Rattus norvegicus: one gene and its partner. The protein of the gene in region 1 interacts with the protein of each later gene in a biochemical or structural test. Links are inferred from orthologs where the notes say so. Each region holds a gene or a part of one and is shown in the gene's direction. Other genes may lie near its edges. The genes, in order: Prpf40a and Mecp2.

Region 1 (15,082 bases):
AAAGCGTGGTGGGCAGCCTGGAACTGAGTTAAGGATGGTTGTGAGCCACTATGTGGGGGCTGGGAATCAAATCCAGGTCCTATGCAAGAGCAGCAAATGCTTTTCAACCACTGAACCGTTCCAGCCCTTACTTCCCAGGACCTTTAATCACTCTTGAATACATTTTCGAAAAAAGTTGAGTTAAGAAAGAAAGAAAAGTTTGTGTGTGTGTTGGGGACAGACACAGCACCTAGTTCACACAGCACCTAGTTCGATTATTTAAAGGTAGTTTTCAACCCACGGTCCTTTGAGTATCTGCATCAGAACTATTCATAAAAGCAAATATGCTTGGACCTAACCTTGGCCTGAATCATAATTTAAAAGTAGCTTAAAAAAAAATACAAGCAAGTCACCAGATTAATAAGTACACACGTCAAATGAGGAATGTTGTTCCTGCGGCTACATCTTACTTTACTGAGACTTATTCAAGCCCTAGATCAGTATTTAAAAATATCCGCAGGGGTCAAAATTTTTTTTTTTTTTTTTTTTTTTGGAGCTGGGGACCGAACCCAGGGCCTTGTGCTTGCTAGGCAAGCGCTCTACCACTGAGCTAAATCCCCAACCCCAAATTTTTAAGTCTATAGAAAAAGAACTCTTCTCAAGGTTGAGCACTTACTATGCTCTTGTTATTTTTTTCTAGAAAATCAACCTACTACCAAAATAACAGACCTAATAGCAATAGTTAAGCCAAAAGACAAGTAATAAACTAAAATGTCTAGTAAATATAAAATGATAAAATCATTCTCACACAACAAGGGTATATGTGGTGTTTTGAAAGAAAATGCCCCCCACCATGGGTTCACAGGGAGTGGCACTATTAGGAGGTGTGGCCTTTTTGGAGGAAGTATGTTTCTGAGAGCGGGTTTTGAGGTCTCAGATAGTATAGCCAGACCCAGTGCCTCACTCTGTCCCTGCTGCCTCCTGATCCAGATGGAGCACTCTCAGTTACCTTTCCAGCACCATATATTCCTGTGTGCTGTCATTCTTCCCACCCTGATGATAATGGACTAAACCTCTGAACTGTAAGCCTGCTCCCAATTCAGTGTTTTCCTATAAAAAATGTCATGATCATGGTGTCTCTTCACAACAATAGAAACCGTAAGACAGTACAAAATACTTTTTTTATAACCTAGCTGATAATTTCAACATGTTTATTCAAAACTTAGGCTGTTTCCTCATATCCTCATTTGAAACTTTTGTATCAATTGTAAAGAGAATAAGGATGTAATTCCTAAGTCATTTTCTTGTGGTAAGATTATGAATCATTTTTTTCTTGGTATCTTAATAGATTTATCATTGATTTCAGGGACCCTTACTAGAACTGGCCTCTCCTTTTATCTGTCTTTGTTAAGGAAAAGTTTACTCAGAGGTCTCCTATCAATTTATCATACTTTGTAAAGCCGGCTGTGCATTTATTCCCAAACAGATGAGAATTCAAACTCAGAAACAGAAGGACAAGCATTATCACAACTGCCTCAATAACTCAATAACCTTTGCAGTGCTTCTCTGAGACAAGCATTTGCGTGTTTGTTTATCTGGGTGGTGCTGAAGATCAGAACACGTGTACGCTAAGCAAAGTGTCTGTCACTGAAGTACAACACACTCAACCCTGAGACAGTTGTCTTTTTAAAGAATGCTTCTCTGTTGGAAAAGATTACCCATTCAAATGCTATATAATAAATATACTTTCTATAAGCCAAACTATGCTTACTTTAAAATTAATTCCCATGAATCTGAATGAGTTAAACCTATTAAGTGATAGTGACTGAATTTACTCTCCACTAGATCAGAGGCTCATACAGGGTTTTGTCTTGGCAGTTACTTCTGCTGTAAAAATGCTGTTTTCCTCATTCCTGAATTTTAATAGTAAAATATATCAAATAGGTAAAGTACTAAAGTCTTTCAATTTGTTTATAAAAGGGACAGATAACATCAATAACCCTCTTCAGTAGGAAGCTAAAAACTACATAATGTATGACATTTTGGACAATAGGAACAGAGTTGATTCACCTAGATGCTAATGGGAAATAATTCTTATTTAAAAATTTTTATCTAAAGACAAACTGCTTACTAAAATGTGAACAATAAAGTCTTCTGAAGTCTGGTTCAGATACTATTTATGTTGTCTAAATTTGTGAGCAAGTTTCTAGTTCTAAATTCCTGAAGCAGCAGTATAGGGAGTTTTTTCCAAAACATAATCAGAAACTAAGAATTTAGTGGACCAAAGTCATGCAGTTATACTGAATACTGTACAATTGCATTAGCGGCTCAATTTAAAATTACAAAAATTATGAAAAATATCTAAATGTATATCTATAAAGGAAATATAGTAACATTTACCACAAACACATAAATAAAAAACACTACTGAATCAGCTATACGTGGTATATATAAAATATTTATCCCAAAGCCTATATAACATTAAACATAACTTGGAAAAACAAAATAAGTGACCGGATTAATAAAATTATCAGTTCATACCTAACAGCCCCGTATCTACGACATCTTCATTTTTCGAGTTTTCTGTATGCAATTCTGTAAACACAAAGAGAGGTTTAGGTAGAAGAGTAGTGTTCCTTCCTGACATGAATATCCAAAGTCAGCAAAGATACTGTTCAGTTGTCAAAAGTACCCTGAAGTCAGAGCTAAGTTAAATTTCTGATTTACCACCTCAGTTACCTTCAAGCAACTACCTCTACAAGAGCCGATTTCCATAAACATGAGAATAGTCTCCTAGGTGTGTTGAAGACAATTTGTACAAAGAAACTTAAGGGCATAACAGAATTTGAATTCAGTTCTTTACTCAATTCTCCAAAATACCAATGTCCTCTGAAATGAACTTCTACTTATGGACATATAACTTTATTGTAAAAGAAAAATAAACTAAGTGCACAACAAATCTATCGTGGTTGAAGTGAGAGAAAAAAAAAAAACTGTTCAAGGGCCACCTGCAGCCCATTAGGGGGTGGGGAAAATGAGAGATTAAAGTTTAATTCGTAAAGGTAACAGGAGAATCACAAAGCGTTGAATCCTTTTAATACAAGATACTGCTTTCATGTTTCAGTTTCTCAAGAACTGGCAAAAGCAACACTAACTAAATTCAAATCTCTTTCCACTTCAAAAAATACTAAACCATACAACAAATCCCAATGGGGTAAAGGGAAGAGCGTCTTTCAGAACATTCCTACTTGGACAACATATGCCAATTTCTGACTAAGTAGTATATAGAACAGACTGTCCTGAAATAACTCTACTTGGTTACAAAGAAAAACCATTTGCCTATAAAAGTAGAAACCCGGGATGAGGGGGAGAAATCCTTGTCCTTCAATGTATCTAGGATCAGAGAAAAGCGTATACACAGCACGTCTCTAAACCTCAGCCTTAGAACATCAACAGCCTATTTTTGTTACATACACTTTTTGATCCTTTTAAAAGGGGCTCTGATTAACATAAGCCGTACTTATGTTTCAACTCAAGGATTCAATGCCTTTACAGCATTTAAGAGTGTGGATCTTTTCTACACTCATTATGGAGCAGGGTCGCCCATCTAAGGAGAGAAGACAAAGGGGGGGGGGGGGGACGACAAAGTACCGTAACAGTTTCGAGGGAAAGCTTTGGGAGGAAAGTGTGAATGGGGGCGTGTGATGTACTGGCTCGACTTTATGCTGGACAGCCTTTCAAGGCCTGGATCTCAGTACCTTTAACGATCAGGTAGGCGATGGCGAGGAGAAAAGCAAGGAGGACGGCGAACAGCAGCGAACAAAGAATGGAAAGGGCTTGGATGGGCCACCGCCGAGCCTGGGTTCGCTTGGCCGCAGTCGCCGGGAAGATGCCGTTGCGCTTATCCGGCAGGACCGGCGACCCGTCCCCGATCCGTGGGAGTAGCGGAGCCCTCTTGGACTCCGACGACGCCCTGGCCGAGAACTCTGCTCGCAAGTCGCGGGCCACTTGGTCGCATCCCTCGTCTCCGTCCTCACTCCAGCTATTCCCTTGAGTGTAGTCGGAATACACAGACCGAGTGACAGGGCCTGGGGTAACCTGACGGCGCCTACGCGGGCCTACAGACCTCCAACTCTCCACAAAGGACATGGCGGGAAAGACTGAGAGACCCGCGAAGGTCGAGCGTCCTCCACCGCCACGCCCCTCCCCGACAACAGCCAATCAGCGGCGGCCGTCGGCGGACCCAACCACCGAGCGCAGAGCGGTGGGGGGGTGCACCAGCGGGTTTCCAGGCAGCTCCGCTAGCGGATGTGCCGTGTGAGCGCGCGCCCGTGGCCCGCGGAGAAGCACTGCTTAATTTATTCGGCCCTTTCCGGTCCTATTGGCACGCACCGTCCAAGCCCCATAACCGCAGCTTCCCGCTCAGCTCCGCGGCTTCCTAACCGCCAATCGCTTCCTCCCTCGGGCGAGTGATCTCCGCCTCTACAACTCCCCGCCAACTACAGTACGCGCCTCCATCCTTCACTGGGGCGCGCGCAGCTCTGAAGCCCCGTACCCCCCAAACCCCCCACCGGCGAACCCCGGGCACGACCCCTCCCCACGCCAACCGCGCGCACGCGCGCACTAGGCCGCTAACGCCGGGTGCCGCTTACCCCGCCCCCACCCCACCCCTGGTGGCCTCAGGTTTGTGGGGCGAACGTAACTAGGGCGGGGGGGTGGCGAAGGTGGCACGACGCCATTGCCACACCCCCGGCGGGGTGCGGTGGCCCAAACCCGGGAATCTGGGTCCCCGCCGTGTCCCCTTTCCTGGGGGAAGTTGGTAGAGTTTCCCCGGCAGAGCACTCGACGCAGAAACTTCCTCCATCCCCCTCCCCCCTCTCCATGCAGGCGACGCCGAGTGAGGCTGGGGGCGAATCGCCGCAGAGCTGCGTGTCGGTATCGCGCTCTGATTGGACAGTAGGGAAGCCTGTCAGTTTATTGGCCCCGCTGATCCCGCCCCGCAGCTCAGGGCAGCCTTTACCCTTTGGCCCCAGCGGGCGCCAGCCACTCAGATCGCTTCTTGTTGGTATGTGTAGCGGCAGTGGCCGCCGACGGAGCAGTCTGAGCCCGACGATGAGGCCGGGGACTGGAGCCGAGCGTGGAGGCCTCATGGTGAGTGAAATGGAGAGCCAACCTCCCTCGCGGGGTCCCGGGGACGGGGAGCGGAGATTGTCCGGCTCAAACCTGTGCTCCAGTTCTTGGGTCTCTGCTGACGGCTTCCTGAGGAGACGGCCCTCGGTAAGGGATCGGCGGGGTAGGGGAAAGCGGCACAATGAAAAACCGAGTCAGAGAAACAGGAAGCTTTCTCCAAAAGGAGACGAGTATACCAGGAAGAGAGCTCCAGATGGTGGGCTACGTCCCAAGGGAGAGAAATAGAGGGCGGGAACGCACAAAGAAATATGTGGGACCTTGGACTTGCCAGTGGTCTTGGCCTAAGTAGATGCCTTAGGAAGGGAGGTGCTGGGCCCCGGGCGGACTGCACGTCTGAAAGCCCCAGGCTTGCTTTATGGTAGGGAGAGGCTGCTGCAGTTTATTTTCCTCCGGAGTAGTGGTGATTTGCACCGGTTGGGGGATTTGGTTGGGAGAATTGGCTGCGGATACTTAGTTTCAAGCCAGGAACAATGGAAGTACTATATTTTTAGCTCACTAAAATGGATGAATTTGTTATTTGCATTTAGTGTCTGGGACAGAATGACAGTCTTTGATATTTTAACTATATTAAGACATTCGTTCCTTAACGAAGTACTCTTGGGTACCCACTCTGTTTTATGATCAGACCTCGTCCAAATTAATGTAATTTTAAGTAGTATAAACAGAGTATATGTATAAAGGTGACAAGGTTGGGTTCACCGTAATAATTTTAAGTTAGAATTCAATACATAGACACCAAGTCTGGCCAGTCATTTGACAGTTGGCTAAGTCATCGGAGAGGGATTTTAATCCGCTATTGGGATTAACTTCCCCATATTTTGTAAATTTTGAGGTTCCTCATAATAACCACTGTAGTATATTTTAGATTAACGTTACTAGATGCTAATCCTGTAGTTTAATCACATTGACTTAGTTGACTTTCAGTTCAGTTGATGGGTTTTAGTCGTTGTTTTTGAAATGACAGTTTAAAGAAACATTGATTGTGTCTTACCTCTTACTTTTCATTGTTTTTCAGATGGGGCATCCTGGCATGCATTATGCACCAATGGGCATGCACCCTATGGGTCAGCGAGCAAACATGCCTCCTGTACCTCACGGAATGATGCCACAGATGATGCCTCCTATGGGAGGGCCTCCAATGGGACAAGTAAGAAGATGTTTTTTTACTTTGGCTTGCTTATTTTTGTTTGCTTGTCTCAAGATTTTAAGGTGTGAGTCAGTGTTGTACTTGCAGATGTTTAAAGGTTAGTTTATATCCATATAATGTGGTCAAACAAGACAAGCATTATGGTGATCATGTCTGTAACCAAATTTTGAATGGAGTAAGACTGTATTTTAAAAAATTAACTGATTTCCTCAACAAAGTTAAGATTTAAAATAATCTTTTAAGCCGGCGGTGGTGGCGCTCGCCTTTGATCCCAGCACTTGGGAGGCAGTGGCAGGTGGATCTCTGAGGTCAAGACTAGCCTGGGTCTATAGAATGAGTTCCAAGACAGAGAAACCCTATCTTGAGAATTAAGCAAACAATCTAAAGTGACAGTATAGAGCTAATCTATTTAACTTAGTGACTTCTTTCAGGCATTATAATTATTAATGGTCTAGAAGTAAATATCAGAAGACAGTCATGGTGAATGTGTAAAGCGTAGCATCAGAAAAATAATAGTTACTTGGGGTTTTCATTTAGAATGAATTTTATTCTTGTAGTATCTTCCTCTTGTTGGGAGTGTGGGGATTTTCTACTCTATTACCAATTCTTCCCTGGACCATGCCAAATAGGTATATACTCGTTTTCTACTTAATTTTTGAAATGATTATTGCTTCTACACTCCTACTTGTGCATTGTCCCTTGCATCTCTAGCACAGATTGTAAATGGACATTTTGTAGAAGTGATTGGATTAAAAGGTTTTGAGATGACTTCGTAACACTGGTAGTAGGATTTCTAGAGAAATGTTCAAGAAAGTCAAGAGCTTCAGTTCCATGAACAGTTGTGTCCTATGCTAGGTGCTATAATACACAGAGTCTTGGGTGGACTGGGTTATTCCAATTGAGTATCTTGATAAGTCATGAAATATTTTGGTTAGCAGATATTTTAGAAAGTCAGTTGTATATTTTCTTTTGCTAATGAGTACTATGGAGTTTGATAATGGTTTAAGCAATGAAGGCTAAAGTTATTGGTGAAATTGCAGCGGAAACAGGAGCTTGTTGTATTTTTCTTTTTATTTTACTTCTAAGAGTAGAATGGTTCAATGTTAAGTGGTTTTCTTTTATATTTGGAATATAGCCCTTAATTTTGTATAAAAAGTTTTATTCAAAGGCACCAGACTGAAAAGATTCTGCCTGCAGGAGTTCTTTATATAAAAGATTCTTTGCTCTGTTACTCTAGAATAACAATACTTTAAAGCTCCCTAGGAGATGCAGAGACAACTCTTGATTCTTCTTCTGTATCTTTCCATCTCTAAGCAGCACAAAACCCTTCTTGTTTTCTTGATAGAGCTGCTCTAACTAGATAATGAGCTTAAAAAATATTTATTCTTTAAATGCTCTGGTTCTTATTTAAAATTAGTTTCTTTCCACAGAAAGATAAAATAAAACAATTTGCTACTGCCAGATGCTTCTTTCTTTTCTGGGGCCTTCTGTTTCCATTGGGCCAGTCAAGGTAAGTTTTGCAAGGGGTTGACCTGCTTACCCTTGCTGTAATGGTGCTGTTGCACTAGCAGACCTGAGATGCCAGCTAGTCATTTTTAGTATAGTGCAGATTTTTTTTTTTTTTTAAGTAATTGGCATACACTGGTCACAGTTTGTTTTATGGCCCCTTCTCTTTGGCTGTGCCAGTGACCACTTTCCTAATAAGTTTACTTGCTACTTACACACTTCAGATATTCTGAATTTTGCTTCATGGTTTTCTACATTTTTTTTTTTAGTCCAGTACGTTCTATACACCATTAAATACACCCAATTATTTAAATGTTTAGCATCTTCCTCTGAGGATAATGAATGAATACTTTAGGAGACCAGATCTGAAAGTCTCAAGAAAGTTGCTGTTGTTCTCTCAAAATTAGATCATTATCCAGTGCCCCTTCCTAGCTAACAGCATGGGTTCTAGCTCATGGTAAAGCTAAGCTGAATCCTTGAGGACTCTAGGAATCTTTCTTAAAGCTCTGAACTTTCTCTTAAAGATGAACTGATTGTTTTTCCTGCATCATTTCTTCTGTTTGCATATACTCAGGATTATTAATAGTAATTATAATGAGAAGATAATTGACAAGTAGCAGGGTGCCTATACCACTCATGGCAGTGAATGTATAGTTTTATCATCCAAAGTTTTTCAAAACATTTTCAGATTTTTGGGACCAAGGGCTATATAATCTTCAAAAATAGTTGATCCTTTATAACTGCAAGATTCTATGTCTATTTGTTTCATCTAACATGGGCTTATAGTTCATGACAAATAGATTACAATTTCCAGACCACAAGCAGATTTTTTCCTTGTCATATTAACATTTAACACATGAAACAGCTATATAGTTATAGAGAGAGCATGTATATCATGTTATGCATAAGTAATCTAGATATGATTTAGACTATACAAGATGTCCATTGGTTATATGCATATATTATGGACTTTTTTATGCAAGGGTGAAAGTCTGAATTTTGATACACAGGATCCTGGAACAGGTCAGCCTACTGTCAGTTATCTGCTACACTGCCCACATTTAAGTTCCCTTAAGAAAATTGGATGATTGTGGTCTTTGAAATGTTACTGAATATGACAAGACATTTAAAGCTTGTTTATAAAACAGTATGCAAACTAGGCAGTAATGATCTAGGCTTAAAAGGGGGTTTGCAAAGTTGAAACTAGAGCCATTTTTTTTTCCAGTTCAGGCTGAATCTATTAGTAAGTACCTAGAAATAGCAAGCATAACTTAACCATAATTTCTTTCAGACTTATCTTTAATATAGATTAAATTATTACCTACTGATGCACATAACATTTGGGGAAAGTTATACTTGTCAGCTATAGAATTAAAAGCGTATACTGCTGAAAGGGACCTTACAAATAAATCAAATAAATGAGTTTTAAATAGTATATAAGTAATTGTTTTTGGAGTGGGTCTTTTTTTTTTCTTAAGTATTTCCTGAAATTTTTTTGTATAGTGACACTATTCAAAACTTTCCAGTAAAAATTTCTAAGTATGGTTGTGTTTGAAGCTGTCTTTCTTCATATCCATTCAGAATAAAGCATGTTTTGTCTTTAAAGTATTTTCTTCTCCTCCTTCATTTTCGTCCTTTTCTTTTTGTATGAGCTTTTTTTAATGAAGAACATTAAATTTTGTTATCTTTAATCAGCTGATTTTGCCTTTGCCCAACAGAGTGCTTAATAGCTAGCTCTGTTCTTGAGTGTTAACTTTCTTCCAATTTATAAAAAGAGTGAAATGAAGTCTTGAGCTCCGTTCCAGAGGTAACACTTTGTGGTTCAATTTTCTGACTGGATTGATTTGGAAATCAAATTCTTTCTAGGAAATTTCAGGTTTTGGGGGGTGATTTTTGGTTTTTTGTTGTTTTTTTTTGTTTTTGTTTTTTTTCTTTTTTTCTTTTTTTTTCTTCCTTTTTTTTTTTTGATGATACATTAGTGAGTAGTTATGTCTTACAAATGAATTTGGTTTTCTTATTTTAATACTGAGAAGACAAACTCACAAATCTGTAATGGCCCAGGTTGTCCTATTCCTAGGCCTTGGATATTCAACTGTTTTTGAGCTGGTTTTCTTGCTTCAAGGCTATTTCTATTTCCTCTCAAAAATTAAAAAGGAAATGTATTTCTTTGCTTAAGAATCTCAAATATTGTATATCTGTGACCTAGTGTCTAAATTCCACAGCTTTAAATTTGAAAGATCTCTGTAATACACGTCAAAGCAACATTCAGTAATGCATGTTTTTATACTCCCTAATACGAGTTCATACTAATCTTTTCATGGTGCCTTAAATGGTTATATTAGCTCTTGACATTAAACTTATACTGCTGTCCTTGTATTCTTGCTTTCAGGATTACTATCACCATGACATCTTTGCTTGCCTCAATTATTTTCTCAAATAATTTTGAACACTGTTTACCTCCTCTCTAAATTATTTAACATCTTGATATGCTTGGAATTTTTACAGTTTTATTTTGGCACTTAGTGACATTTTCCTTCCCTTAATGTTTTCTGATTTGCTATTTTCCTAACAAGTTATAAAGTCTTAGAAAGCAAGAACTAAGTTGTTCTTGTTAAGAATTGTCATTGCTGAGCACATTTCTTGGTGCATTTTGGGTGCTCAGTAATACTTGTTGAATGAATGAAATGAGTAGATACTATTTCCTACAATGTAAACTAGAAAGTAACTGATACATGTGTATCTAGAGGTTACTTGTGACTTTACATTGTCCCTGCTTTTAGTATGAGATTCATTATGGCTTTCTCATTTAACAAAAAATAGATAAAATGAAGTAAATTGGTATTTTTGGGTTTTGTTTTGGTAAAGAAATATAAACACTAACACTTAATGGTAGGGACATGCATTTCTAGCTGTGTAATATCATTGAAGATGTAATCTTGCCATATAGGTCCTTATAATATAAAAGTGATTTGTACTAGGTTTTGCAGAGATAATCAGTCCATTGATAATCAGTCCATTGGTGTTTAAATTTATCTTACTAATGAGATAATTTATTTTATTTTTAATATTGGCCAGTCATTAAAATGACTGTAATAATGACATAATTTTTATGTTATTTTTGTTACTTGAAATTCCCAATTCTAGTAATTTCTTCGCATTTACTGCTCTCAAATGTCTTCACTTTTACGATGTGGTTCAGTTTTGATAGGTTTTACTAGTAAGACTGTAGACGTGCTTACTTCAGCAACTATTTAGCATTTAAATATGAACTCACTCAAAACTTGAGATCCAGTACATTTAATGTTCGTAATGATCCAAGAAGTTTTATCTCAATTTGATAGAGTAGACTATCTCTCTCTTTAAGATGCATGAAATACTAAGTTATTGGGAAGTCTTGCAGGAAGTTTTGAAAATGCGGCTAGGTGTTTATCTGTCTTGCCCACCACCTTTCTAGTAGCATTTCAATCATGAGAAGTACTACGAACACTTAGTAAACTTTCTCATAACAGATGTGTACTAGAAGGTCTCCCCACCACACATTTTTTTTCATTGTTTACCTAGAAAAATGGACCTGTTTTGAAGGGTTATAAGTAAGAATGGGTAGATTATGTTCTCTTGTTGAAGTTGTTCATAGTTTTTCATTTGGTTGTCTTATACCTTCATTTTTTGCTAGACAGCTATGTCTCTTATTAATGTTCTTAGTATAAATTCATGGCTTTATACTAAAAGACTTTTAAAAGACTCTCATCATCTGGAATTACTGAAAGTATCAGAATATTCCTGGGCACTTGGAAATATTGTAGATACAAGTCTAGTCAACTGACCATCTGTTACCTTTCATTTACTTTATGCTATGTTCAGTTCTAATTAGCAGTTAATAAAGATAGTACATTTGCTTTAGTGGGCTTAAATCTGTTATTTCTTAGCATGCTTAAAATGGGTTTGGTGCTGTTAGGCATGTATATTGAAGGACAGTAATGCTAGCAGGTGAGGACTGTCCTAGCTTGAACTACAGTTTGCTGTACCTAAGGCTCTAATTTTTCAGTTAAATAAATTTTTTGTATGGTTTATCTTAAACTTTTGACTTTCTTTTCTAGTGAAAATTCTTATTACAGTATACACAGAATCATATTCATTAGGTTCTGATCTTCAGAACCTTACGTTCCGTTTGACATCATGGGTTTAGAATCACATATTTCATTGTGTAGTCTGGGAAGGTTGCTGCTCCTGTAAATGAGACTTCGGTAATGTTTCAGTAAACTTAACAGCTACATGTATGATAGTAGTCTCACAAGAGTACAGTGGAGCTGAAAATTTTTATGATTTATTTTTTTACTATATACTTTCTATATTTAGATGTACAAATTTTTCGTATTACAGTATCCTATAGTACTTATTAGACTAGTGGCCCGATGACATGGCAGCCTTGCGATCATAGCACAGAATACTGCTCCTGTGTTTCTGATAATGTACTAGTTTACCAGTCATGTTGAAGATTATCCCACAGACATGGGATCGTGCATAATACTTGAGTTGGTAATGGTAACCAATAGAATTTATTGCTGATTTTTGGACTTACACGTTATTTCTGATTTATGTGCTTACTATGCTATCCTCTATATTGGTTTGGGATGTACTTTACAAAAACAAACTCATTGTAATAAAATAGTTACATGTTACATGAACAGTCACCTCATACATCTTAGTGTTCACTGTGCCTCTTGATAAATGAAAAGGGTACATGCAGTGATTAGCTGACTTGTATCATCTAGGTTTCTGTATGTACACATTGCATATAATAAAATCATATGTTATATTTATCAGTGAGTGTGTCTGCTGTTAAGTGAAACATGCGGTATTAAATGTTATAGCTTACCTTTATTACCAAAGTATAAAGGCTTAGATGTAATATTGAATCTAGCTTGAAGAACATGAAAGGGAGATTATAATGGTCTTGTGTCCTAAAGAAGGCTTTAGATGACAATTTGAGTATAAAATGTAAAGTCCTTAATTTTGTAAAACTTAAGAGCCACAATTATGTTTCTCTATACAACACAATATTGTGTTTCTCTAGTTGAATTTAAAACCTTGCAATAAAAAAAAAGAAAAAGAAAAAACCAGCGGTATTCATTTTAATTCTACTACACTTCTATCTTTATGGTGCATAGTCTGTTGTAAAGGGTTATAATTTTGTTCTCATGTTTGTATGAACCTTGAGAAATTCATATAACTTATCGAATTTAATCTCCTAGTCTGAAAACTGTGATGACTCAGTTTGTCCAGGTGTATTTGTTAACTTGATAGTCTAGAGACTTAAGTGAATTATATACGAACATTGCAGGGCCAGCATCAGATGTGATACCTAACCTGGTGTTGACTTCTTATAACATGTATTGATTTCTATTAAAGATATTAAGAGTATGCTGTTTGTTGGATGGGTCTTTAATGAAAAAAACATAACAAAAGCTGAGAAATAGACAAGGAATGGTTGAGAGAAAAGATTATTTCTTATTAGAGGTTAAGAACGGCAATAATAAAATATTGTTGGTTAGTCTTTGATGTTTTCAGGTGCTGCACAGATTCAGTCATTGATGGCAAAAGTATTTAGAGAAAGATTTGTGTCTATACTGAATGTGTTCAGAAGATTTTGCAATATAATAACTAGATAGCATTTAGTATTTATTAGGTAATGTAAGAAATCTAGATGTGATTTAAAGTTTACTGGGGGTGTGATATAAATGTGTTGCCACTTTATATGAGGTAAACATTTGGAGATTTTGTTTTCCATTAGGTGGGGCTATGAGTACTGTGAGACAACCCAGTAGCTAGTAACTTATTTAATAGCTTTGATTGGGCATTATTTTAATTGCCTTACACTCACTGTATTTTATTTCCCATAATAAGTCCTGTCAGGTAATATTTTTACTATTAATGAGAAATTGAGGTCCAGAGAGGATAATGTCATAGCAGCTTAAGACCCCAAAGCTGTCAAGTAGTCATGCTAAGATAGGAATCCTGCTTGTCTGACGGTAGCTGTGCCGCACTCAGTCGGGCTCTCTAAAATTGTAAAAATCAGAACATTTGCCTTTAGTCTCAGTTCTCGGGAGGCAGAGGCAGGCAGATTTCTGAGTTTGAGGATGTCAAGGCAGAGAAATCTTATCTTGGACAAAAAGATAAGATAACTTGTATAATCAGTTAAGTCAACCACTTCAGAATATGAAGAATAGCTATAAAGTTTTCTTATTAGCTCTGTGTGTTCCAAAATTTCATGTGGATTCCTAAAACCAAACTATATATGCATGTTTACTCTTGTTTCCAAAATGCCCTGTTATGTTGCCTTGTAATTCTAGAGTTTATCCTTGAAAATTTTATGCCCTGACACCTTCTTTGCATCGTTACTATACTTAGGGTTTTGGAGCATTATTAAATAAAATGAGAGTTACTTGAACTGGTGCACATACATGCTGCAATACGTCAAAGCTGGATCTAATATCTGGTTGGTAGGTAGCAAGGCTGGTTGGTAGGAGCTACAGCTATGGCATGTGTACATAATTTAAAAACTTGTGGATTTATTTCCATTTCAGATGTTGTCCCCCTTCCAGGTTTCCCTCCACAGACCCATTTCCCACTGCCTCTGTGAGGGTGCTCTCCCACCCATTCCTGCCTCACCGACCTAGCATTCCCCCTCCACTGGGCATTGAGTCTCCACGGGACCAAGGGCCTCTTCTCCCATTGATATCAGATAAGGCCATCCTCTGCTACATATACAGCTGGAGCCATGGGTCATGTGTCATGTGTGCCCATCATCGTGTTCCCCCCACCCCCCCAACAATCGTGTACTCTTCAGTTGGTGGTTTAGTCCCTGGGAGCTTTGGGGACTGCATCCAGTTAGTTGATGATGTTCTTCCTATGGGGTTGCAATCCCTTCAGCTCCTTTAGTTCTTCCCCTAATTCCCCTAACTCTTCTTCCATTGGGGTCCTCATGCTCAGTCCAATGGTTGGCGGCCAGCATCCACGTCTGTATTTGTCATGCTCTCGCAGAGCCTCTCAGGACAGCTATACCAGGCTCCTGTCAGCAAATGCTTCTTGGCATCAAAACTTGTGAATTTGCTTTTAAAGTTTTCACATATTTTCAGACATACATTGACCATAGGTTATTGAATCTGGAATGTAAAGCTATTTTTACTTACTTTAGAATTTCTAAATTTTGTAGTTTGTATTTAGTAAACTGATTTTGAAAAGTAGTTGTCTTACTAAGTG
Region 2 (14,871 bases), on another chromosome or scaffold:
CTGTGTGTGTGTGTGTGTGTGTGTGTGTGTGTGTGTGTGTGTGTGCATGTGGATATAGGTGCATGTTTACCTGTGCATGTGAAGACAGGAGACAACCTCCAGTGTTGGACCTCAGGAACCATTATAAGGGTCCCTCCAGGCTCTACTGTAGGCATGGAAATGAACTGCAAGGGACAAGAAGGAAATCCGATCCAGTATGTCTTAGTTAGCCTGTGTTGGTTCGAGCTACTAGACTCTCACCCCTGGGAAGTTTATTTTAGACATATTTAAGTACCATGCAATTGTGGGAAAGAAAAGTTCCGTAGAAAGAGTTAATCTCAGTTCCGTGTGGAGAATGACTACATGGAAGCCCAATTGGACTAATTGGAGCCTAACTACACGGAAAGCAAAGTATAGGTGACACCTACCTTGAGGATGCATTCTGCAACTTGGGGGCCTAGGATCTGGTGTGGTTTCAGTCCTACAGATAGTGTGGAGGTCACTAGGCCATAAAGCACGTTTTGACATCCCTTCCCTAAGGAAGGGAGGGTTCTGGGGGTCTGCATTCCACCTCGCAGCTGGGGTGTGTGAACACTGCTCAGGCAGACTCAAGGAGAGGCAAAGGTCTGGGAATGTAGCCTAAGATGGGGGCCCCAGCCCGGGTGAGAAAGACGGGGCGGGGGGGATGGCTGAACCTCATGAGAGAGGGATTCCCCAACTCCCAGTCTTCTAGTCCCCACTGGGAATAAATAAGGTAGAGTTTGGAAAGGGGGGGCTGCACAAGCCAGTTTTGAGCCTAGGGACAGGGACAGGGGGAGGGGCAACTCTGGCTTAGCTCAGGGGCGAGTGTTCTTGTCCAAAGGTCAGAGGGGCCTTTTGCAGAAGACTTAGAAGGCAGGGGCTGGGCATGACTAAGACTTCCCCTCACAGGGGTTGGGGATTTAGCTCAGTGGTAGGGCGCTTGCCTAGCAAGTGCAAGGCCCTGAGTTCGATCCCCAGCTCCGGGAAAAAAAAGAGAAAAAAGAAAAAAGAAAAAAAGGACTTCCCCTCACAGCGGTTCCTTGATGAGACAATCAGTTTGCTTGTCCAAACTGTTTGTTGCTTATTCATCGTGGAAAATGGGTTCAGGTGATTCACTCAGGGTGGACCAGAGATTGAATACGTTTTGCAGAAAGGAATGTTGGTGAAGGGGCCAGTCCATCTAGATACCTCATTAGCATGGAGAACTCAGGTGTTCTGTGCTATGGGACTAGTGGTCAAGATATTTGGGGGTGGGGTGGGGAGGGTCACGGTCACATGTCCCAGGACAGGAACCGGGTACGAGTAGTAGATTAAAAGCCCTCCCATTCTCCTGTACGAGAATTTACCAGGGTTTCTGTATCTGCTCAACCTTCCCAGATTTTGTCTGGTGAAACAGTGCCCCATGTCTCACAGGGTTTTACTGACTGACAAAGGAAACTAATGATGCAGCTCTGCCAGAGGGGGGAGGGGGAGGGGGAGTCTGAGATAAACTTAAAATTCAGGGTGTTCAGGTGTGACCTGATCCACCACAGGTGGCAGTGACCACCAGGCTGTTAACAACATCCACTATCCAGCGTTCTGGGTGGAAAAGAGGCATATACATTTCTTCTGTTGATGACACGAGCCTGCCTGCAGCCTTCACATCCCTGGTTTCTGTAGTCCTTGTCTGTGAGCACAGAGACTTCATGCCCTTTACATCCATCGTATTTAAAGATGATTTAAAGAGATTGGCCCTATCACTTGCATGAAACTCACCAAACAGGCTAGGCATGCTAGCCAGCTAGCCTCAGGATTCTGCTTGTTGCCTCCCCAGTACTGGAAAAAAATTACAACACATAGCTTCATGCTTAGATTTTGTTTTAATGTTCTGAAGATTGAAATCAGGTTCTCATGCTTACACCACCAAGCACTTTGCCAACAGAGTTAACTTTTACTAAAGTTTCTTTATTTCCTTTTAAATGTTGGCACTTTTCTTTCACGGCTAAATTTTATCTATCTATCTATCTATCTATCTATCTATCTATCTATCTATCTATCTATCTATCTGGATTGAGGAGAAGGAGAGAATGAGCCACAGCATACATGTGAATGAAGGTCACAGGACAATTCATGGAAGTTTTAGATACTGGGACTTGGACTTAGGTCACCAGGCTTAGCAACAGGGGCCTTTACCCACTGACTCATCTTGCCAGCCCTGACACTTTCTTTTGTTTTTTCAGGAGTTTTAAGAGTAAAGAAGGGAAGCTTTGAGAACATGTACATGCAGGCATAATTTATTGTCTCTTTCTGTTTGACCTTTAAATATGTATTTGTTTTATTTTATGAATAATGAGTGTCTTCCTGTATGAAAGGGATTAAGTTTTGTTTTGTTTATGAGACAGTGTCTCATGTAGCCTAGGGTGGCCTTGAACACATAATGTAGCCAAGGATGACTTTGAAGTTCTGATCTTCTTGCTGTTACTTCCTGGGTACTGGCTTTATAAATGTGCACCACCACAGCAGGTTTATGTGATGCTAGGGATTATCCCAGGGCTTTGTACATGCTAGGCAAGCATTTTACCACTGAGTAACACTTCCAGCTTCTGGGGCAGTTTATTGGTGTGTACAATGGATGAATGGTTTTAGGAGATTTTACATAAGTATCTACAAGCCAAATTGTGTTTATACTTGTGTATATGGGATGTACTCTTCAGTATTTTGGACTGTGTCATCTTTTTCATTTTTATTTGTCATTTTGGATTTATTCTTTTAAAATATGTTTTTCTCCATCACTCCCACAGATTTTTAGGCAGACAGAGTGGATGTGTGTGTTCTATTTTCCATATTGCTAAAATTCTACAGTTTGTTGAGGTATATACATATAGTATGTTTTCCTGGTTGTAATTGCCCCATTTTTTATGTTGGGGATTGAATCCAGGGCTTTATAAGTGGTAGGCAAGTGCTCTACCATTATGTTTTATCCTCGGACTCTATCTCCCCATTTTAAAGGGATGTTATTTTTAAATGCTACAGTCCCATTTTAAAAATGGTTCCTTTTAATTCTACTACTAAAATACTTTGGTGCTGTATGTTTTTTTTCTATTTTTCAGTGCAAACATAAATTATGTCATTTACATCTCTTTTATCTAATTTAAAGAAGTTAAAATTCTCTTCACAAAATTTGAAAAATGTCTTGTTTTCTTGTTTTGTACATTACTCTTCTCAATGCAGAATTGCCTTATTATAACCCATAAAACTTTGGGACTTTAATTTTAGTTTTTCAAGACAGGATTTCTCTGTGTAGCCCTGGATGTCCTGAAATTCAGAGATCTGCCTGCCTCAGTCTCCCAAATGCTGGGATTAAAGGTATAAGCAACCATGCTAGGTTCAAAACTCTTACATTTTGGGGCTGGGGATTTAGCTCAGTGGTAGAGCGCTTACCTAGGAAGCGCAAGGCCCTGGGTTCACTCCCCAACTCCAAAAAAAAGAACAACAACAAAAAAAAACTCTTACATTTTGATCAGGGCAATCTCCAGATTTGTTAATGAAGCACTTACATTTTTATGTTGACTCTTCCATTCCAGGAATGTGGTAGTTGACTTTTTTTCCACATCTTTTAAACTATTTCAGTAAATTTTTATATATGTTTTTACATTTCTTTAAATATTTTTATTACATGTATTTATTATTATGTATATATGTACACGAGCATTCAGATGTTACAGTGTGAGTGTGGAGGTCATAGAACAACTTTCTTGAGAGTAAGTTCTCTTCCTCCATGATGTGTATGCTACGTGTCACTCAGGTTACTAGGCTTGGCAGCAAGTGCTCTTATCTATTGAGCTGTCTCAGAGAGCCAGATTTTTATATTTCTTAATAAGTTTATCTCTAGACTTCAACCCTCCCATTATATTGACAACATTTTATTACTAGCTAGGTTTACATGCCTGCACCCTAATACTAAACATAGACTAATGACCATTTCTCCTCATAGTGAAGGGCCAATTATGAGATTATAGTAGAAAAATGACATATTTTATTTTTGAAAATTATATTGCATTGTAGATCTTGCTCTATTTCTTCCTTTGTTCTCAATTAAATATCATGTTTCATCTACAGTTTTATAAACATCTTTGATCAGATTAAGAACGTTCTAGTTATAGTTCTTTAAGTTGTTTTTAAAATCATAAGTAGGTATTGAATTTTATCAAATGCTTTTTCCTTCATGTATTGATACTCGCATGATCTGTTCTTAAAATTGTAATTGATTTCTAATTTTAAACCATCCTTGTATTTGTGGACTAAAACTCAGCCTGGAGGAGAGGAGGCTGGAGAGATGGCATGTTGCTCTTGCAGAGGACCCAAGTTCTGATCCTATCTTCTGCATCTGCAAATACCTGCATGCTCACACCCCAACACACACACACACACACACACACACACACACACACACACACACACACAATCACTCTGAGATTATATCCACTTGTTTTTTTTACATTTATCTATCTTAGTATTTTATGTGTATGAGTATATTTTATGTGTCTGTGTGTATTTGTGTGTACTACATGTGTGCTTAGTACTCACTGTGGTCGGAAGAGGGCACAAGATCCCCTGAGGCTAAAATTACAAATGGTTTTGAGTGGCCATATGGGTGCTGAGAATCCTCTAGATTTCCCCATTGTAGTAAAAAACATTCACTTAGGTGATCCTGCCCCAAACTCAGCCAAAATCCTTATTTTTTTCTTTCTTTCCATCTGATATCCAATACTTTTGGCTCAATTTAGAACATAAATCTTAAATATCACAACTTATCAGAATTCATCTGCTATTGCCCTAGTTAAAGCCATCATCATCATTATCATCATCATCCCCCTTCTTCTTCTCCCCACCCCAACTGTTGTCAGGACCTCTGGACTGGCCTGTTCTCCATTCTTCACTGGCAACATAGGTTTTATGATGCCAGCTAGTGACTCAAGTATCAAGGGCTTCTCATCTCAAAATAATCTCCCAGTTCTTTTGGTGACCTAAGTCTCTCTCCAGTCACACTGGCCTCCTTGGCAAGACATGCATAGTCCTTCCTTAGAGTGTTTAAACTTGCCTAGAATGTTTTCCCCAGTTACCCATATTGGGGGATGACATGGGCAAGTGCTAGAGGTTATCAAAATAGCACTCCTTTCGCTCTTGCCCTATTTCAAAGTCTTTATGAAAAATTTTAAATTCTACTTACTTGTATGTTTAGTATGATTCTTTCTTACCAGGATTCTAGTCTGTCTCCTTGTTCAGTACTAAAACAGTGCCTAGCAACTAAATGAATGGAGAGGGGAGCCAAATTTGAATCCAAAAGTCTCCTATTGAGCACAGGATTAGCACAAGGAGCATCGAATGCTGACTAGTATAAGGGTAAGGTTGCTTTGACAATCCTGACACCTTATTACCTAAACCTTCCCTCATACTCTGAAATCCAGATTGCTGGATCTCAGGTCTTCAAAGCAGGGCTGCTTCCTCTGGGCTCACTCTCTTTTATACTTACTTCAATCAAACCTTCTGATTCAACAATGACAGACAAATCTCTTATTAGCTTGGCATCTGACATCTGCCCACTATAAAGGTCTGCAAAGACCAGGATTTGTTTGATATGTTGATTTTACTGCCTTAAGAGTGCTAATTAGGTGGAATAATACAATTGGTAGAGCCTTTAAAACAAGTCCCTTGGCTTGGAACAACATCAGGCTCCTCAACAGGCAACTTTGCTGCTTCTACAGAAAATGATACTAAGAAAATGCTGGTGCAGTTAAATGCTTATCACAGCGTGCCCGATGCGCTTGCGGATAGAGGGCAGGGCGGTTCTAATAGGCGACAAGAGCCTAGACTTCCTTAAGCGCCAGAGTCCACAAGGGCCCCGTTAATCCTCAACATTCAAACGCTGCCCACAAAACCAGCCCCTCTGTGCCCTAGCCGCCTCTTTTCTCGAAGTGACAGTAGACCTCCACCAATCCGCAGCTGAATGGGGTCCGCCCCTTTTCCCTGCCTAAACAGACAGGAACTCCTGCCAATTGAGGGTGTCACCGCTAAGGCCCCGCCCCAGCCTGAGCTCCACAGCCAATAGAGGGTAAACTCGACAAAGCGCTGCCGTTAGGGCGCGGGCGCGCAGGTGCAGCAGCGCCCAGGCTGGCCGGGAGGGCGGGGCGCGACGTCGGCCGTGCGGGGTCCCGGCATCGGTTGCGCGCGCGCTCCCTCCTCTCGGAGAGAGGGCTGTGGTAAAAGCCGTCCGGAAAATGGCCGCCGCCGCTGCCGCCGCTGCCGCCGCCGCCGCCGCCGCTGCCGCCGCCGCCGCCGCCGCCGCCGCCGCGCCGAGCGGAGGAGGAGGAGGCGAGGAGGAGAGACTGTGAGTGGGACCGCCAAGGCTGCGGGCGGGGACCCTTGCTGGGGGGGGCGGGGGGTAGGGGCGGGACGTGGCGCGGGAGGGGCCCGCGGGGTCGGGCGACACGGCTGGCGGATGGCGTCCCTCCTCTCTACCCTCCCCCTCTCTCTGTCGCCGGTGGTGGCTTTCTCCACTTGTCTCCCGCAATTGCGAGCGACGGTCCTCAGCGCGATCTCCCTCGAGCCACCTTCGAATGACGCCCTCCCGCTGCCCGCTGCCCGCCCCATCTGTGCGCATCTTGGGCCCCAGCCTTTGCAAGCGCCCTTGTCGTCTGGGTTTCGCCAGTTGGGGCTGTGCGCGCTCCTGCCCTTCTTGGGGTTTTGGGCCGCGGCACTGCCGCGCGCCCGCGGTCCCGGCCTCTCCCTGGATCGCGCTGTCCCCTCTCCCTCGCGCGCCCCCACTCCCGTTACTCGCTCCCCCCCCCCACATACTGGCGCGCGTGCGCAGTCCATCTCCCGTTGGGAGAGTGCGCCACAAGGGCTCCTGAGCTCTTACCCCCATCTCTGGATTTTGCTCCCTCCTTCTCCTCTCCCATTCCATGACTTTTTGCCCCCACTGCAAGCGAGTCAGTCCATCAGCTCCATTCCCCACTTGGCAGGAACAAGTTGGGGGTTAGTGTCCACCCACAAAAAGGACTAGACACTATGTTCCTAGGTCCCACAACTCATCATAAAGAGATGGTTGTAGTTCTCATCAGGAACCGTGGGCTAGGGACTGTGCGTTCCTCAGCACTCGAAGCTCTTCCGTGAGACCATGCCCGCAGGGTGCTCTGGTTCTTTGGGGATGCTGTACTGTGGCTTCGGAATATGAGCGTCTTCCCACCCTCCCTCCCCTCCCTTCGCCAGCGATCATCCAGTTACATAAGTGGAATGGGACTTTGTATGTAATGGGCTCTCTTGGTCCTGGAGTGCTCAGGATCTCCAGTACCAAACATCGCTATGACTCCTCTGTCAATTATCTCTGAAAGTTCATTCTCTTTTTAGTTCGGTTATGACTGAATCACTTAAAATAAAACACAGGTGACTTTTATGTGTCAGTAGCAATGTTTCTGAGGTTTTGCACTAAAGGTTTAATCAATCGTGGTGGAGTCTAAAAAGATTCGGTTTCACAAGAAAGACCCTGGTGTGACATTGTTAAGTATGGACCCCCGCAGGGCAAAGCTTGCTAGGGAATACCTCTGTGCTAGTTCTTTGTATGTTCCGGTAAAGGTTCATCAAAACAAAAATGGGCTCCACCATAAAATTGATATTCCTGACTCATAGTCAGGGAGATATGTACTCCTGGTTAATTTTCCAGGAACACAAATGGGCTCTGTTGAGTCATTTGCATGTCGTCTTCAGTGTTTGGAATCATTACCCCAAACAGTGAGACAATAATCTCAAATATAGGGTTGTTGATGGCGATCATGAAACAGAATGAACTAATTTATAGTGCTAAGTGACTGAGATGTTGTAGGACTCTCACAAGTTCTAGATGTTTTTGATATACTACGTAAATGAAACCAATTTGGGCCTGGGTAGTAAAATTTCACTAATAGGTAAATTATTATTGTATTTTGGGTTTGTGGTTGGATTTATGTGAATCTCAGCAATTTCAATTAATAACATGATTTAAGCTGATGTCTTAGGTTCTTTGAAATATGTTGGATCTCTATAAAAAAAAGTTTGGACTGTTAGGTCCTTGGGGAATTTCCACCAAGGATTTGGAAAAATATATTTATAGGCTTTGGTTTTTTGTGTGTTTGTTTTTAACTTCAAATTCAAGTCATACTCAGAAAGCCTAGAAAACACTTGCTTTTATCTTCTTACCTGGGTATGTCAGAACCTTAAAGAATCCACACACTTTAAAAGTACAAATGATCTAAAATGAGTTAATACACATAACCCATTCATTAAACAAATTGCTGACCGACAGACAGAGTGCATTCACTTTCACAAACACACCCAAAAGATTTCAAAGTTTATACATTTGAGCCTGAGCTCAGAGTCGAAACCTTTACTTTGTTTTCATATTCTGTAACATGTTTGCTTCCTCAGGTGCCCCTCGGGTTAGCTATTTGTTTTACTCATAGCTCTTTAAACATTGTAAGCAACTTTTAAAACAGTTTCCTTTCAAAGTTCCTGTTGACATCTGAAGTTAGTGTGTCCTAAGAATTTGAAGAAACTATATGACTTTCTTGCTAGTATTGATCTATCACACATGCCTATTTCCTTTCCATGAGAATGTGTCTTGAGTGCTTTAAAGCTACAGTAACAGGTTCCTCTTTCACTGAAGAAGAAAGCATCATGTAGACGTTGTACTCCAAGGATTATTTTTTTCCTTTTTGTTGTTATTGTTATACTGGTGGTTAGACCCAGGACTTCATGCTTGCCAGGCAATCACCTCATATCCTTAGCTGCCTTCTGTTTTTTGTGCTGTTTGAATCCTGAGGTACACATGACCACAAAGACCACACGTAGACCACAAAGGTTTTGGAAGCTTATTATATGTTTTTGCAATCTGTGTTTGTATTTTCCAGATAGAGTTGTTCCCTCTGCCTGATCTGCTTCTATGAAGCTTAATCTATTGGGGACAGGGAGACAAAGCTATGGAGTTTGAAGGAAAAACCTGCTAAATTCTATGTTCTAGTGCCCCAACTCCACCCATGCACTCCTGAGAAGGTTTTTTTTAACCTAGAATAAAGAGCAGCAGTGGTAAACTTGTTAGTTTGTTTGCATGGTAAATGATGTGTCCTGGAACCTGTTGTCTTTTCTAAGGGTGAAATCTTTCTAAAGGTGAAATCAGTGAGAATCTTTTTTTATTAATTATTTTCATATATTTCATCCCAACTGCATTTTCCACTCCTCTCCTCCCAGACCCTCCTCCCTTCCCCTTCCCCATCCACTCCTTTTCCCTTCAGAAAAGGGCAGGCCTCCTAGGGATATCAACCAAACATGGCATATTAAGTTTCAATAAGACTAGACACTTCCCTCATACTAAGGTGGCCCACTAGAAGGAAAGGGATTCCAAAAGTAGCCAAAAGTGTCAGAAAGAGTTCCCCACTCCCTCTAATAGGAGTCCCACAAAAACAGGTCACTCATTGGGGAATCTTTTAATTGGCTAAGCAGTTTACCACTAGCGAACTAGACCTGGGAAACATAGAATCATGGACAATGACATTGTTAGTAGCCAGTGTTTTAAGCACAGCCTTGACTGGAGTGTGGCAGAATACATTTTAATCACCTGTTCTAGTAACATCTGTGCAGATCAAGCCATGTGACTGACAGAATCAACCTTTTTAGTTGGGTAGAGAACACTATTGTTCTTCCAAGGGAAAGACATTGTCCTCAGCACCCATCACAGCCTTTTAAAATCACTGTTGTCCAATTAGAGAACTGCACCTGCTCATTATTTTAGGGAGGACCAGTGTGAATCCAGTGGCTCCCTGTTTCTGGGGCTTTCTTAGACAGAAGGTGTGTGTGCTCTTCTGCTTCCTACAATCTCTTCTGCCTTTCTCTTCCAAGGAACATTTTCCTTTGAAAGTTTGACTTCAACCACTTTCATGGAAACTATAGTGTATAGAATGTCTGAATGGTGGCAAGACTCAAGAGAAGGCAGACATGCCCACCACCATGTTAAACGGCAAAGTATGGCCTTCTCCTGGACACTTTGCTAGCTCTGCTGGTACTGTGGATGTCTGGACTCTCGTTACTGGCCAAGTCTCAGTACAAGTGTGCTTATCTTTTCCTAAGAGCTGGGGGTATTTTAGTATGAATATTTTTGTTGGATTTTCACCTAACTGTATTTATTTTTAGCTTTTTTCTCATGAAATCTCAAACTTTTTTTTAAGAACTTAGAATAAAGATTAGTCCAGCTTCCAATGAAATAGGGGCTGAAGATATAGGGCATAGTCATTTGCTTCACATGTGCAAGGCACTGATTTCAGTTCCATCCTTACAAAAAATAAAATTGCAGGTAGGTAAAACTGTGGTCTTGAGAAGTTGTGACTTTGTAGGCCTTCTTAAACAAGGCACTGGTTTGATTTTTATTAGGTTGCTATCCAAAACTAATTAATTTTGGCATTTCAAACTGTTCCATAACTTAATTCTATGATTTAAGAAATTATGGGAGTGAAGAGGTTTTGCTGAGCCTTAAAAGATAACTGTAAGCATCATCAAGGGACTTGGTTGCTGTTGCCCTTCCTCTGGATTCGACCCCATGAGTGACTATAATAGTCTTAAGTTGTACAGTATAAGCCTTTCTTTTAGTGTAAAGATAAAAGTGTTATTACTGGCAGAGCCAAGTGTCTGAAATTACATATTTAGGCAGTTTAGGCTTTAACAAGGAAATGATGATTAGCTTGATGGCAACAGCCTTATTGAACATATGTGCAAAAACAAGAGAGACTGAAGCAGGAAGATCTGAGTTTGAGGACAGCTTGAACTACATAACAAAACTGCCTCAAAAAGCAACAATAGATATATATAGAGAGAGATGGCTCAGCAGTTAGGAGCACTGGCTTATTTTCTATTACCTTTGTAGAAGCTCACAATGGTCTAATTCTAGTCCGAGGATCCATCTTCTGGCCTCCACAGGCACTACATGTGGGTAGTGCGCAGACATACATTCATACAAATGCTCATACACATAAAAATAAATAAAATCTCAAAAAAATTAAAGAAAAACAATAACAAAAAAATCAAAAGAACCCATCAACTCAATGTGTTACAGACATTGAGATTTACTGATTTGAGAGGCTTACAGTAATTGGTTAGAGAAGGATTTATATAGTTTGGATGATGGCTTTGGATCTCCTGGTGCTTTTTGTCTTTTATCTCAAGGTGAAAACCCCTTTGTGTGATGTTAGAGCAGTTCCTTGCAGCTTTGACTGCTGGAAGCAGAAGAGAGACTTTTGCCTCTGGATTTGGTTGTGTTCTTTTTGAGGTGATGTGTGGGTGTTTTTGTTTGTTTGTTTTGGTTTTGGGTTTTTTTTTTGTTGGTTTTTGTTTTTTTCTTTTTTGTTTGTTCTGGGGGGTGTTGGGGGTTGGATTTGGGCTTTTTTGTTTGTTTTTATGTTGAATATACTCTTGAACACTCTTGAACACGTTCTATCATTGACTTTTCCTATATAATGTGGTGGAAGAAATACTTAACCAGAAATCACCACTTGTGGTATGCATTGTAGTTTCAAAGTGTTCCCCAGAGGTGTAAAGACCTCTGATAGTGTCAGTTCTGACAACCATAAATCTTGTTTTTATTTTAGCATTTTATGTTATGTGGCAGTAATTTGCAGTTTATTCTTTGCTTCTAATTAGCTTAGCTGGGAAGTAACATAGTACTTTGTCTGTATTTATCTTCAGAATGTTCCAAAAAGCCTTGGGAAAAAGGTGCAGCTCAATGGGGACTTTCAACTTACAATTTTCTTTGTTTTAGGCTCCATAAAAATACAGACTCACCAGTTCCTGCTTTGATGTGACATGTGACTCCCCAGAATACACCTTGCTTCTGTAGACCAGCTCCAACAGGATTCCATGGTAGCTGGGATGTTAGGGCTCAGGTAAGTAACCTTCCTTTTTTTTTTTTTAGTATATGTCCTGGTTTGGCCATCTGTTTTTAAAAAAAAAAAGGAAAAAAATATACTATTCTTGGACAGTATGAAAGTACCCCAAAGACAAAAAATATAACTGGGCCAAACTGTGCCATATAATAAAAAAAAGTCACTTCCCTGAGCCCTGAAAGTTCAGTTCAGTTTGGGTAGAGTTCCTTGGTAGCCACAATGTGATCTGGGGGGTGGGTGTCAGATTAGAGCTGGAACTGGTGATCTGCAGCTTCAGTTCACCTTGAAGCAGGAGAGTGCTTGTCCTGAGCTCTTCACCTGTGCTGCTGCTCTTACCTAGTGGTCTTCAGCATGATGCTTTCTTTGATTTGGTTTGGGCTAAATGACTTGCAGGTCAATGTTAGCAAACAGTGGTGTACTGCATTTTCAGATATAGGAACTGGTATGTGGTCCCCTAGAAGAGCACCCTTCTGAAAGTGTCATAGCACAATGGAGCCTGTGGTTAATGGTACTTGCTTGCTGAACTCTGATGGAGTGCACCCAGACAGATGTGCAGCTCTTGGGATTCTAGAGCAGGATAAGTGCTTTTAGAAAAGCTGGAAAGTCAAGTCATTTTTAAACCTGACAGATCTGCTGCAGTGTGAACTACTATAGTACCATTGTGTGGACTTTAGTTTTGCAAGAGTGAATTGTTCTGTTATTTCTTATCCTTTATCAGGCTCAAAGCTCTCAAGCTTTTTTTTTAATTAGTAATTATTCCACATTTGATATTTTGTCACCTGTATTTGTGTGATAAAACAGATAAATCCAATTAAATTTTCCTATTTTCTACAAGAGAAAATGTTGACTGTTCACACATGCTGCATTGTGATTCTATTTGAGATTCCCCCTATTAGAATTTTCTGTATCTCTAGATTTATTACACCTCATAAAGCTAATATGTACAGACATACACACACATATACATGCACCAAATGGCTGATTTATCTGGGAGAGTGAGTTTTGGGTGAAGGAGAATAGAAGGAAATGAAGATCATAGCACTGCCTCCAGGTTCTGGATTTGATTCTGTTCCTGATCCTGTGACCTCAGTTGTCATTCTCCTTACTATGATGAGGTATACTCTAAACCTGGCTGATGTTCTTTGTGCTTCACATATTTATGCTGGTGGGACTTATATGGCTAGTGTTTTGTCTTGGGAATCCTACCAAATGTAATAGAAGCAATGATGGGTTTCTTCTGGTAGATGTTTGGCTGGGAGTGGTTTGTGTTTTTTTTGTTTTTTTTGTTTTTCCCGGAGCTGGGGACCGAACCCAGGGCCTTGCGGTTGCTAGGCAAGCGCTCTACCACTGAGCTAAATCCCCAACCCCTGTGGTTTGTGTTTTTTAAAATCTTTTTTCTCAGTTTATGAATGCCTTTAGGAAAAAGGCAGTAATGACACTATACATGTTTCTCCAAAGAAAGGGTGGATTTTTTTTTTAGAAAAATTTCTTACTACTTACAAATGAGAAAAACAACTGAACTGAAATGTTCAAACAATAGAACTTATCTTTTCTAGAAAAGTATATATCTTTTCTTCTTTAAAAAAAATGCCAAGTATGGTAGTATACAACTTTAATACCAGCACTTGGGACACAGAGATAGGTAGATGGATCTTTGTGAGTTTGAGGCCAGCTTAGTTTACATAGTGAGTTCCAGGCTAGCCAGGGCTACATAGCAAGATCCTGTTTCAAAACAAACAAACAAACAAAAACAAACAAACAAAAATGATAAAACTTTAAAGTAGAACTTCTTCACGAGCCAATCATTTTGAAGAATCTATCTAGACTTGGAGGTAATGGTAGGTATTGGCCCATCCAAATTGCCTTTCCAAATGGCAATCAAAATTTTTTAAACCAGTGTTCTTTTTGTTATTACTGAGTTGAGCTTAAGTAATTATTGGCCATTTGTATCTGGCTGATGTGAATTATATGTTCATGTTTCGTACTCATCCTATCTGGATATTTTTTATTAATTTTTAATTCTGTGTGTGTGTCTTTCTGTGTCTGTGGGGTGCACATGGAAGGTGAAGGGGTGCATATGAGTTCAGGTAACTGCAGAGGCCAGAGGTAGATCCTCTTGGAGCTACAATTATGGACAGTTGTAAGCTACCTCACATGAGTGTTCAAAAACAAACACAGGTCCTCTACAAGAATCACAAGTGATATTAGCTTCTAAGCCATCTCTTCAGCCCTCAAGATACTTCTTTTTAAATGGATCTGTAAGAAGCCAGGACCTTGTACTTTCTAGATCCACTTAACTGAATACCTAACCTCCTTGGCTTTCTACTATATAAAATCTCAGGCAGCCCAGTGATTGGCATAGAAGGTTAAAGATACTTCCATCAAGCATAATGACCTGAATTTGATCTCCAGAAGCTACATAGTGGAAGGAGAGAATCAGCTCCTCCAAGTTATTGACTCCCACTGTCCTTAGACTGTAGCACACATGCAACATGGACACTAAAATATATGTTAGGATTTTATTAGCTCTTAGAGTTTTCTGGGGGCTGGAGATAGTGGCGTAGTAGTTAAGAACATAAGAACACTTGCTGCTCTTGCAAAGGGCCTGGATTTAGTTCCCAAAACTCAAAAGGGTTACTCTTGTTCTGGGGAATCCAGTGCCCTCTTCTGGTCTCCAGATGCATGTGGTGCATAAACTTACACTAGACAAAACACATAAAATTAATTTTTATACAAGAAAATCTTTTTCTTCTAAGAGTTAGTTGATACTCACTTTCATTTTCTTTCTGAAAAGATTGATATATTTCTGATGTATACATATTAATGCACCATAACTTCCTGTTTGTCCACATTCTTTTTAATTGATTTTTAAAATTCTGTGTGTGTGTGTGTGTGTGTGTGTGTGTGTGTGTGTGTGTGTGTGTGTGTTAGG

The links.
Region 2: the proteins of Prpf40a (region 1) and Mecp2 form a complex in vitro, tested with the Homo sapiens proteins (2 studies listed by BioGRID, with this or other methods). The link is inferred for Rattus norvegicus from reciprocal best matches to the Homo sapiens genes PRPF40A and MECP2.

The regions. Positions count from the first base shown.
Region 1 is NC_086021.1:58,088,519-58,103,600, reverse strand, and holds the start of Prpf40a (pre-mRNA-processing factor 40 homolog A), read left to right. Parts: upstream 1-5,091; coding exon 5,092-5,256; intron 5,257-6,183; exon of another isoform or gene 6,184-6,184; coding exon 6,185-6,316; intron 6,317-7,746; exon of another isoform or gene 7,747-7,778; coding exon of another isoform or gene 7,779-7,826; intron 7,827-15,082. Other genes in the region: Arl6ip6 (ADP-ribosylation factor-like protein 6-interacting protein 6), read right to left, coding at 2,521-2,574, 3,738-4,128.
Region 2 is NC_086039.1:156,987,280-157,002,150, reverse strand, and holds the start of Mecp2 (methyl-CpG-binding protein 2), read left to right. Parts: upstream 1-6,248; 5' UTR 6,249-6,257; coding exon of another isoform or gene 6,258-6,367; intron 6,368-6,445; exon of another isoform or gene 6,446-11,326; intron 11,327-11,815; 5' UTR 11,816-11,913; coding exon 11,914-11,939; intron 11,940-14,871. UniProt on the Homo sapiens protein: Chromosomal protein that binds to methylated DNA. It can bind specifically to a single methyl-CpG pair. It is not influenced by sequences flanking the methyl-CpGs.